Linked DNA regions of Oryzias latipes. The protein of the gene in region 2 interacts with the protein of the main gene of each other region in a pairwise test. Links are inferred from orthologs where the notes say so. Each region holds a gene or a part of one and is shown on either strand. Other genes may lie near its edges. The genes, in order: plekhb2, cda and syntenin-1.

Region 1 (3,276 bases), on a different chromosome or scaffold from region 2:
CTTTATGTGAGGGTTAATGGCCGCCGAGGTGTCCGTTATCAGAACTTAACGGACGACATGAAAGCCAGAGCCGTCACACGGTTGCTGCCGTACAGTCATTTCTGATAATTGTCACGTTGAAGGCCATCATCCCGCTGATACCACGGCCACTTAAGAAATGAATATTCAATAAATTTTTACTACTGTATTAATGTTATTTTTTCGGTTTAAATCGCTTCTCACAAAATAAATGGACTGATGGGTGGTGCTGTGTGTTGTTGTGGTAACGGCTGAGCCGGCACTGACCTGGACTATAGCGGCAAAGGAAACTGATATCTATGCTGATCGTTAAAGCAGCAGTCCAGAGAGAAAGTTCACCTCTTATCTCTTGTTGTTGTCCAGACGATGAAGCAAAAGGTTGTTTTACAGAAGCCAGCGCAGAACATTTAAACTATGTGAGCGGGACTTCTTTTGCAGGTGTGCATTATCACTTTTTAATGCACACCCAGCAGCCAATCAGAATCCAGTATTCACCCAGACCATGGAATAAGGATGCTTCATTGCTTCCGCTGAATGGACAGACCTGCTCTGACATTAGAGCTTCTTCATCTACGCTCGTGAATCTCATCGTGAACAACTTTCAGGGATGATAAATGAGACAAAAACAAGTTTGTTACTATTTTTATTAATCACACATTTCATGAACTCGTTTCAGACTCAGGAGGAGTTCTCCAGGCAGAACGCCGTTTAACTTTAATCCACTTTTGAAAACAAAAGGCCATAGGAAAAGCTCTATGTTTTTTTACCTCAAATATTAGCTTTTAGCATTGCTAATGCACAATCATGAACCTTAAGCACCCCTATATGAAACACTGTTCCTGGGGCCTAAACTGCATTTCTAATAGAATAAATGAATACAATTCAATTGACGTGAAAAATGGAAGGCCTTTATGAGGAAACATGGTTGAGAAGATGTTCACGCTAACATACGGATCTAAACGGCAGAAACCATTATTTTAAACAAAAACAAATCAACAGCTGCTAATGAGAGGAAAGCACCAAAGGATGCACACGCTCAGAAAATCTAATGGTAAGGGTAATCTTTTTACCCTTACCATTATCAGATGGCTCCATAGTGAAAGGTAGCATTTGTGTGAAGTTGTACGTGTTGGTTTTAAAGGCTGCATTCACCATGAACAGTTAGCAAGGAGAAGATTCACAACAAACCTGCATGGGAGTAAACAAAACCATCCAGACTACACACCCACTGTGCCCACTGTCCAGGACAGTGACAGAAATGTGCTTGAGAGGACCTAAAGTGTGCATACATAAGGAGTGTTTCCTGTCTTTTAGAAGTCAGTCATGTTTTTGTTAAGACTGTTCATGTTAAGACACGTCAAATAGGTTGCCACACAGCCAAAGTGCTTCTAGTATTCAGGACGTATGCCTCCACCTGTCACTCTTCTCAGACGTACCCCCACAGACTTCATGAAAGTGAGCGGACGCATGTGCAATAACTTTAAAAGACGGAGAAGAGGGATCCCAGAGCCAGGCCAGTGGCTGCTCCGGCGAGCATGCCCAGAGCCACGTCTCCGGCGTCCTCACGCTGCCGCTCCCGAATGACCACATGGTTCACTGCAGCGCCTGGGAAACACCACAAAGGACCGGGCTTACTGCCACCCTCTCTCATCTGGAGCTGTAGCACGCATGCCGTGTAAAAACTCACCTTGGTACTGATATGGATAAGCAAGGCTGTATGGTGCCCCTTCAGCAGAGTACACAACCTGTGTGGCGTTATGAGGAAGAGCCGTATAATCTCCATACGGGCCTGGAGCGTAAACCTGGACAAGAAGTGAGCAGAGATTCATGAAGCAGCATCAGTAAAATGATGATCATCTGCATTCAATCAAGACGTTTAACCGTTTGCCTCTAATCTACACATAGGTGGTTTTTTGTTTTTGTTACCTTTTCTGGTCCACACTCATGTAGGGCATTAAGGTGTTCTGTGTTTCTCTCTAAATACCTTGGAACTCATGCGCACCATTGTTGTTTGTCCAAAAAGGATTTACAGACAATAGTGTCTGTACTCAAGTGAAAATAATGAAAGACTGAACAAATGATGCATCGAGGAGCCGTTGAACGCTGCAGTAGTTCACCAGCAGGTGGCAGTCAATCCCAGCTTTAAATGGTCTCTTTTCCGTACCTAGTCCTTAACCCTTGTGCTATCCTAGGCACTTTAACATTGGGAGTTGGGTCATCTAGACCCACTAGACAGTGCTCTGAACCTTTTTTGATTTGTGATCTTCACTGGTGTCCATGGATTACATGAAATCTTTCCACCTTTATCCACCTTTGTCATGGTAGGGAGAACACGTCAATGGAAGGGTGTAGTCATCTAAGATAGCACAAGGGTTAAAGCAGGGGTGCTCATTACGCCGGGTCGATCTTCAAGGACATGAGGGTAGATCGCAGGTCAGCAAAGATAAATAACCAAAAAAATAAAAAAAGTACTTCTAAAAAATCCGTCAATCATCAAAATCCTCACCGAGAAGTACAGGACTTGATTGACATGCAGAACGGCCAATCAAACATCCTCTGAAACATAACACACTGCACATGTGTGATTAAATTCACTGAGCACAAATTCTGTCATTAGAAAGTCGCTTTGCGCCCCGGAGCACGTCAAGTCCCCGGCAGAAGACCACTCCGGCCCACTGGAGTGTTTATAGAAGCCCCGACCGCCCCGCATGTCTCTTCCTGCTTCCGTAGTTCCCGCCCAATGGATCCGAGCTCACCAACACAGCAGTGTATTCCGTGGCACGTGCTTGTCACGGAGCCAGCTGGCTTTAGAAATGCCCCGCTCCCCCCAGACCATGGTTTACAGCAGAGCATGACATACGACAGTCACTGCTTTCTGTTTTTGTAATAAAACGCACCCCTGCCTTCAAATGTTTTGTCTGTTTTATCCATTTACATGGTTTCCTAAAACTTCCCATTCCTCCTAAAGCCAAAGAAGTCCACTTACAACCTTTTCAGGTATTTACTCTTCCAAGGAATTGCTCAGAGAACGGTTTGGGATTCCTGAAAATTGTTGGACTTTTTGTAATGAGGATATGGAAACAACTGAGCATCAATTGTGGGCGGCCGCGGTGCAGCGGTAGGGCGGTGGACCCATGATCATAATATTGCACGTTTGATTCCCGCCTTGCACACCATGTGTGGAAGTGTCCTAGGGCAGGACACTGAACCCCACCTTGCCTCTGGGTAGGTTGGCGCCAGCGTTTGGCAGCGGCGCCG
Region 2 (4,325 bases):
ATCACAAAGATCAATTTAAGAACTTCCTGAACTGAAAAACACTTTCAGGAGCAAAAGCACAGGCATTGAAATAAAAGTGGTTTTTGTTCGCTTGACAAATGTACAACACAATGCGACACACACACTTTTAAATACCAAAACAAATGTGTGTATTCCTATCACACGAAAAAATAATACTTTTTAATCAACCAATTTGTTTTATTTTGTCCAATTAGCTAAATTGATTGAAGCTGTGCATGGAAACCAGTGAGTTTGGAAGGAGAAACCTCTGCTGTGTTAACATACTCAAAGGAATCGGACATTCCATTGAGAACCATAACTTATGGCGAGTTTCTATGAACCCCGCCTGTGGAACGGTTTCCCAGAGAGCCTCAGGACCACACAGACTGCTCATGTGTTTAGAGGATGACTCGAGTTTTAATCTGGCTTTTAACGGGAATTTAGCAATACAATTATTTTATGTTTAATTTATTTGGTGAATCCTTTTGTTGTTTTGTTACTTATTTGAATGGATCTTTTTTAAATTCTTTTGCAATTTTATCAACTTTAGAGATTTAGCAAATTTTGCCAATTAAGGTTTATTTATTTATGTTTACACCTGTAAGTATTTTATTCCTTTTCATTTTTTTTTTGTTTTTTCATGTGAAGCTCCTTTGTGCTACATGAGTATGAAACGTGCTTTTATAAACAAAGTTAGATTTGATTTGATCCAATATTATAACATCTCTGCAGGGGGATTCAGGAGGCCCACTTGTCTGCAACGGTAAATTTGAAGGCATTGTCTCTTGGGGCATCGGCTGTGGCTATGCGTCCTACCCTGGTGTTTACACCAAGGTCAGAAACTACCTCATCTGGATTGACCAGGTCATCCAGAGCAGCCCATAACTCCTCAAACCACAAGAAAGTACTGAATAAAATTTCAACTGTCCCAAAAGGTTTTTTTCTTTCACTTTGTATTCCTGAACTTACTAGATAATTTATCTTCAATCTTCAAAACTTGTCTTAAATCTGCAAAAGTATCTTATTTTAGATTCTAAAAATCCTCATATTTCTTTTAAAGGTCCTTTAAAATGATCAATAAACTAGATTATATAGATGTTTGAAACTTTAAAAAGTTTCACCTCCTGATGTTTTTCTGTCTGCTACCTACATTTTTCTTTAATCCTGAAAATAAAGAGACATATTTTGTCAGACTAAACCTTCGGATTTTGCATCTTTTGATCCATCCTGACGCAAAGAAGTCATTCCATTTAGGGTCAAACCTGCTTCAAACTACAGGAAAAAAACGTTCTCATCCTGCAGCACAGCTAACGGCCTGACAAATGATTGGCTGAGATCAGGCGTCGTGCCTCTGCCCAAATCACATTTAAAGCTGAACTGCATGACAATCATTCACCCACTCAGTGCAGAGGTATCACACACAGCCTCAAAGCCAACCTCACAAACATCAAGCATGGAGGAGGTCAAGTCTGGACAGAAGATCACAAAGATCCAGGATGAAGGCTCCAGAGACCTGTCCCCAGAAACAGTTCAAAGACTGATTTTTCAGTCTCAGGAGGCGAAGAAGAAAGCGTACTGTCCTTACAGCCAGTTCAGAGTGGGAGCTGCTCTCCTCACCATCGACAACCGTGTCTTCACAGGTGAGTCGCACCTCATCCTCTCTGATTCAGTCATTTCATGTCCTGTGATGCCAAACAAAACCTAAACCAGATTAAACTGATGATCAAAGAATCATCCGGCTTTCACGGCTGCTTGGTGACCCTCAGCAAAAAGTATATACATGTACTACAAGTTTGCTTAGTCTATACTACGGTGAGGTACTTGAAGCTTACATTTTTATGTACTATTGTACATTTTAAACAATACCAATTTAGTCTGAAGTACACATACATGGTATACTTCATAAAATAAACTTCAAGTGTAGTACTTTTTGCAACATTTTCAGCTCTGTGTAAGAAGAAGCAAATAATAGCGACTCAAATCTTTTTGGGAAAAACTTAGGAGAAGAAAAAAAATAAAACTTCAATCTGACATTGAAGTTGTCACACAATGTTAATGATTAGCTGACAGGGGAAATGACTGGACTCCAGAGTGAAGGTTCACATTTCTAATTGGTCATTACAACACCACATGGCGCAATTTTCAGATTCCAAATTTGAATTTTTTGGATTCAAGTTCTTCATGAAAATCTGTTTCAATTGCAACTTTTGTCCGAGCGAAAGTTTTCTCCTTTTGTGTCAAAATCCCTGCACACATGAAAAGGCTTGACAAAACCTTGAAAGGCTGCTGGAGGTCCAAAGGCTCACTGACTATTTGATTAAGCTATAGAAAAAAAAAATCAATAGGCAGCCTCTTTACAGAGAAAAGGACCCCTTTTTCTTTGGGACATATGCATTTGGTCACTCTGTTTTGTCCCGTGTCTCTGACAGGCTGCAATGTGGAGAATGCATGCTACAACCTGGGAATGTGCGCTGAGCGAAATGCCATGGCAAAGGCGGTGTCAGAAGGACACAGGAACTTCAAGGCGATTGCAGTCGCCAGGTGAAAAAATGAAACCGCCATTTTTGAAAATTCACTCCATCAGACACCAGCATCTTTCGCCCACTTTACAAACTTCTTTGTGTTTCTTTTTGCACTTCAGCACACCTTAACAAATTATCTTAGCGATGTGACCATTTCTGTTGAAGCAAATGCTCGTATAGTAATAAAAAGTCAAAGCATGATTTCTCTACAAAAACATCTCTTTTTACACTTCATATAAAACAAAACTAAGTGTAGGATGGAATAGCTTGTGTTATATCTTGTTGCGTCATTTGATCTTGAAAACATTTTATTTTAAGCAAAAATACTGATTTAAAATATGTTGTTTATGTTTTTGTGATGATGAATGGTCTAGGAATGAAGGGTTTAAAGACACTGGACGGTTTTATTTGACTTATAGCGTGGAACAAATGCATTTAGCAACAACAGGACAAAATTTTTAAATGAAACAATTACAAAATTATAATTTGTCGACACATTTATCTTAAAATGTGTAATTATACTCTTGAAATGATTGCAGTTTAGAAATAAGAATAGCTGTGGTGTTGTAGTGCAGGCAAAAGTGAATAAATGTACCTATGATAACAATTTAAACTATTTTTTGATCAAAAGATGGCTATTTTAAGACATATTACCAACTACCAGAGCAGTATACCTGAATATGAGTGTTTATAGGTGATTTCAAGATTTCACTTACTCTTAAAGGGGTGTAATATATTACTAATTATTTTAAAAAAAAATCTCACAAAGACAAATTCTTTTAGTTCCATTGGCAGATTTCTTCACTTATAACAAGGAAAAACATCTTGAATTCTATATTTTTGACTTGCTTTGAGGACATTTTTTATGAAGTTGCTTCGCTTTCGTGTTTCCTGCTGCAGTGACGTGAGGGATCACTTCGTTTTCCCATGTGGAGGCTGCAGACAGTTCATGAGAGAGGTACTGTTGGGTCATATTGCTTCATTCTGAAGGCTCTGTACCTTCAACACGTCCAAAAGATCCAAACATTCTTTAAAAAAAAAAAATGCAAACATTTGCTTCAGCTTGACAAACACATTGAAGCATCTGAACAAGAAGATATTCCTGAGTCACATTTACTTGTGTTTTTTTCCAGTTTGGGACGGACTGGGATGTTTACCTCTCCCACCCTGACGGATCTCACAGAAAGATGACTGTGGAGGAGCTGCTGCCCTTTTCTTTTGGCCCTGAAGACTTGTCCAAGAAGAAAATACCTCACACTCCCAATGAGTACTAAATGGTTTCCAAAAAACCTGCGTTCAAAAAGTCAATATTTACCAACAGTTTTAAACGTTGCAGCAAATTTTCATTCATGTTTAAATTAATAACAGAAATTTGTGTCTTTCCACGACCGTTCCGTGTATGTCTACCAGACTTTTCACGCATGTACAACATTTATATGGCGTGTACGGCATTTATCACGTTAAAATTATGTAATTGACGCACAAATTACTAATGAATTTCATGTAAACAGAACAATAATTACGCACAGTTCATGTTTTACGTTGATTTATCTGTTCTCTGCGTGGTTCATTTCCTGCAAACTGTCTTTCCTGTTTAAATTATTTCCAGAATATATTTAATGAAAATGTTATTAAAGCTTCCACTTTAAATGCATGAGAATATGCTACAATAAACCATAAAGGAAGATTAGGTTTGAATCTTTTAATAAATAAACAGTTTTAAAAAGCATTTCTTGACTTGTACATTTAGTTGCACTTAGATTTAATTCAAGTTCCAACAAAGATAGTAGTTGTCCATAAAGG
Region 3 (3,563 bases), on a different chromosome or scaffold from region 2:
ATCACACTAAAAAGCTTTCATCTCAAATGTACAGTGTTCCTTCGTTATATCTCAGTTCACTTTTTATGGTTTCAAAGTTTTGCAGACAATATATAAGCACTTTGAGTTATGCTTTTATATGGAATGTGCTTTATAAAGTTTGATTTGATTTGACATGTCGGTGCAATATTGCATGCTTTTAAAAAAAACAATTCTGAACACTGTGTTCTGCATCCCGATTGGCTGTTGACCGTCCTAATCAATCTCCTCTGTGCCGTGTGTTCTTTACGGATTGTGTGCCGTTTGCTAAATCTAAATCGATCTTTGTTTCCCATCTTTATTTCTGGACTTTTTTACCATGAAAGTTTGAACTATCAGGGTTTATACAATAGAGAAAAGTGTTAAAATGTTCATGTCTGTCTGAGAAAAGCGTATAAAATGTGTAGTCAGGGGTTTACAGCCTTAAAACATCTGTAGTCCTGCTTCACAGATTTCCCTCATTTCAGGTTATTTTTAGATGCAACGTCCTCGATAAACAAGGGAACTCTGTATTCACAGTTTTGCTAAAAGAAGAGTCCGATTAGTCATTTTCTTTACTTATCTCATGACTTTTATGTCTGATTACTCGGATTCATTTCCTTGAGAAAGCCTGAACGTTTCTCCTGCCTCTCCCTCAGGGGGTGTTCATCCAGCTGGTGCAGGCCAACTCCCCCGCCGCCCTGGCCGGGCTGCGCTTCGGCGATCAGGTCCTGCAGATCAATGGGCAGAACTGCGCCGGGTGGAGCGTGGACAAAGCCCACAAGGCTCTGAAGGCCGCGGCCGAGACCCGCATTGAGATGGTGGTCAGGGACAGGTGTGTGGTAAATGTGCTGAAGGTTATAAACGGGAAAGACCTTCGACATCTTCGTCCTGAGATTGGCTGAGAATTTGCTGACTGCTCAGCTGAAGGATTGTTTAGAGGGATGATTGACAGCAGCCAGCAAGGATTGTGTTTGGCTCCTTTGGTCAGAGTTATGGAAACATGTTCTGCCATCTCCTTAGAAAGCAATCTCCAAAATGACAGAAAAGTCTCCTGAAAGACATTTAGTTGATAACAAATATATATGTTTTTTCAAATTAGGTGCTGAGGAAAATGTGTACCAAATGATGTGTTGCTTAGCAACCTCAGTTTTTATTTTCCATGCCCACTACAGTAGCTTTTTTAATATTGCTGCGTTCAGTCAGCAGAAGAGTTTTCTTAAAAACTAAAAATGCAGCATGAAAAGGAAGGGAAGTGCATCACAGTCGTCTTGAGAGCTTCAATAAAACGCCATCAGCTCAATTCTGCTTATCTTCTCAAGGCCAAAAGAGACTTTTGGGTCCATTTGGGCACAAAAAATACATAACTTGGCCAGAACAACCTTTTTACAGAACAATGAATTGATGTTATTACTTTACAAGTAACACGCTTGTTTGTTGGCAAGAGTTTGAATGTTTTTTTGAATGTTATCAAGTGTTTCGGGCATCATCTAGAGTTGAAAAATTTATTTGTTTGAACTTTTCTTTAGACATTTAGACAATGATTCCTGCAATGGGGTTTGATCATCACCTCTGATACTCCGATCCTTTGAAAAGTAACAAACTAAGCATGTAAAGATGCTGCAGAGGGCTTTTTATCTGAAGCAAAGTCACTTTCAAGCTTCGCTTAATGTCCAAATATCAATCACATAAGCAAACGATGTAGTAATTGCTATGAACCTCCAACTCTAAGCTATATTTGAATCCTAATGTGCATGAAACGACATTTACCTCGATGATGCAGGGTAAGACTGTTTAAACATGGTTGCTGCTTTCATAATTTTGATTTTGGTGCACAGACACAACTCTGAACACTGCTTCACTTTTTAACAACTTCTCAGCAAAAAAGTTTCAGCCATTTTTGATTAGACATCTTAATAATGTCACTAAAGATTCATTTAATCCCTCAAATTCTCCTGCTGATTCACAGTTCTCTGTTTTTTTCCTCCAGGCCTTTTCAGCGAACTGTCACCATGCACAAGGACAGCTCTGGACATGTGGGCTTCATCTACAAGTCTGGAAAGATCACCTCACTGGTCAAAGACGGTTCTGCTGCCCGGAACGGCCTGCTGACCGAGCATTACATCTGTGAAATCAATGGACAGAACATCATCGGCCTCAAGGTGAGACACAAGTCCTGTTTGTGTTTTCAATAGCGGAAAATATTAGCAAAAACCCTATTTGTCATTTTGATGTGTGGTGGCTGACTTTATTTCCAAAGCCTGCACGAGGAAGACGACTCCAGAAAATAGTAAAAAAGGGCAGTTTTAAGGAAGCACAGTTCATGGTTCAGTGAGTAAAAGCAGCTAAAGTCTGTAGTATGTGGTGTGTTAGTTACTGCAGCTCCAAACGCGTAGGACCATCGCTCCTGATCCCTGTGAGGTTTGTGGGGTTTGTGAGGTTTGTGTTTCAGCGTCAGTTGAATCTGTTTTAATATGTCCCCACAAATTCAAGTCAATTCTTTTATGAAATACACAAATCAATTTTTACAGCCACATCTAAATCACAAAGTAAAAAACATGACATAATCAAAAGTGCAAAGAGTATCTGATATTAGAATGGGTGAAAGATGTCATAGACTCAGAATGCATAGATAATGGTTTGATATTCAATCCTTTCCTCATGAATCTGAATAAAATCATGAGGTGCCTAAAGATTCACACCCCCAGGCGGGAGTACTACCCACTCAAAAAAATAAATGTGATCTTCTGTTTTCTTTTTTAACTTGTCCTGTCCAACAAACAGCAAACAGATGAGAGCTGAATGCCTCTTGTGTTGGACATATTTTATTTTACAACAGGGGTTATGAATCTTCAGAAAAAACTGCCAAGTAGCCCCCCCCCCCCCCCCCCCCCCGGTGCATCGCAGGCTGAATTTATATTCTGTACTATTAGTGAAACCCTTTGATACAAGTGTGTTGTAATATGAAGGTATATAAATAAAACTGAATTGAACTGAATATGTGTGCACGCATATGTGTTCAGTTCTGTTTTTGGCGCCATGATAGACTGGTTTACCCTCACTTTCCCCAAAAATTTTAGAGCCTAACCAACCCAAGACCATTTCCAGGAAACACTTTACCTGATTTACTTTACGTAGATTTACTCGCCATTTTTCATTTAACCACACACCATTGACTGAGTGCCGCCCCCCCCCCCCCCCCGGCGTTATAAACAAGTACCCGCTGGCACCAAGAAGCAAAAATCCCATAGACTTGTATTGAGAAATAAACATGTTACTTAGTCATTTTATTTGGTCAGAAAAATCCTTCTTAAACTGATACTTAAACTGGGAGGACTGGGAAGTTTTTATGGGTGAAAGGATTTGAAAATGGGGGAAGGATGCTATGGAGATTACTGTACTTTGCTCTTTTACTGTTAAAAGGATGGTGATTAAATCGATTTCATGTATTGATCATTTTAGGATTCTCAGATCAAAGACATCCTGAACTCCTCCCCCACCGCCATGACCATCACCATAATGCCCAAGTTCATCTATGAACACATGATTAAGAGGTGAGTTTTTCT

What was found.
Region 1: the proteins of cda (region 2) and plekhb2 interact in binary tests that used the Homo sapiens proteins (3 or more experiments, as listed by UniProt). The two-hybrid records come from large-scale screens. The link is inferred for Oryzias latipes from reciprocal best matches to the Homo sapiens genes CDA and PLEKHB2.
Region 3: the proteins of cda (region 2) and syntenin-1 interact in binary tests that used the Homo sapiens proteins (3 or more experiments, as listed by UniProt). The two-hybrid records come from large-scale screens. The link is inferred for Oryzias latipes from reciprocal best matches to the Homo sapiens genes CDA and SDCBP.

What each region holds. Positions count from the first base shown.
Region 1 is NC_019862.2:3,232,203-3,235,478, forward strand, and holds the end of plekhb2 (pleckstrin homology domain-containing family B member 2), read right to left. Parts: intron 1,821-3,276; coding exon 1,706-1,820; intron 1,624-1,705; coding exon 1,499-1,623; 3' UTR 645-1,498; downstream 1-644. UniProt on the Homo sapiens protein: Involved in retrograde transport of recycling endosomes.
Region 2 is NC_019863.2:29,307,457-29,311,781, reverse strand, and holds cda (cytidine deaminase), read left to right. Parts: upstream 1-1,380; 5' UTR 1,381-1,381; coding exon 1,382-1,640; intron 1,641-2,429; coding exon 2,430-2,541; intron 2,542-3,422; coding exon 3,423-3,480; intron 3,481-3,655; coding exon 3,656-3,796; 3' UTR 3,797-4,251; downstream 4,252-4,325. Other genes in the region: trypsin-like, read left to right, coding at 733-885. UniProt on the Homo sapiens protein: This enzyme scavenges exogenous and endogenous cytidine and 2'-deoxycytidine for UMP synthesis.
Region 3 is NC_019865.2:5,706,302-5,709,864, reverse strand, and holds part of syntenin-1, read left to right. Parts: intron 1-656; coding exon 657-832; intron 833-1,987; coding exon 1,988-2,159; intron 2,160-3,459; coding exon 3,460-3,551; intron 3,552-3,563. UniProt on the Homo sapiens protein: Multifunctional adapter protein involved in diverse array of functions including trafficking of transmembrane proteins, neuro and immunomodulation, exosome biogenesis, and tumorigenesis.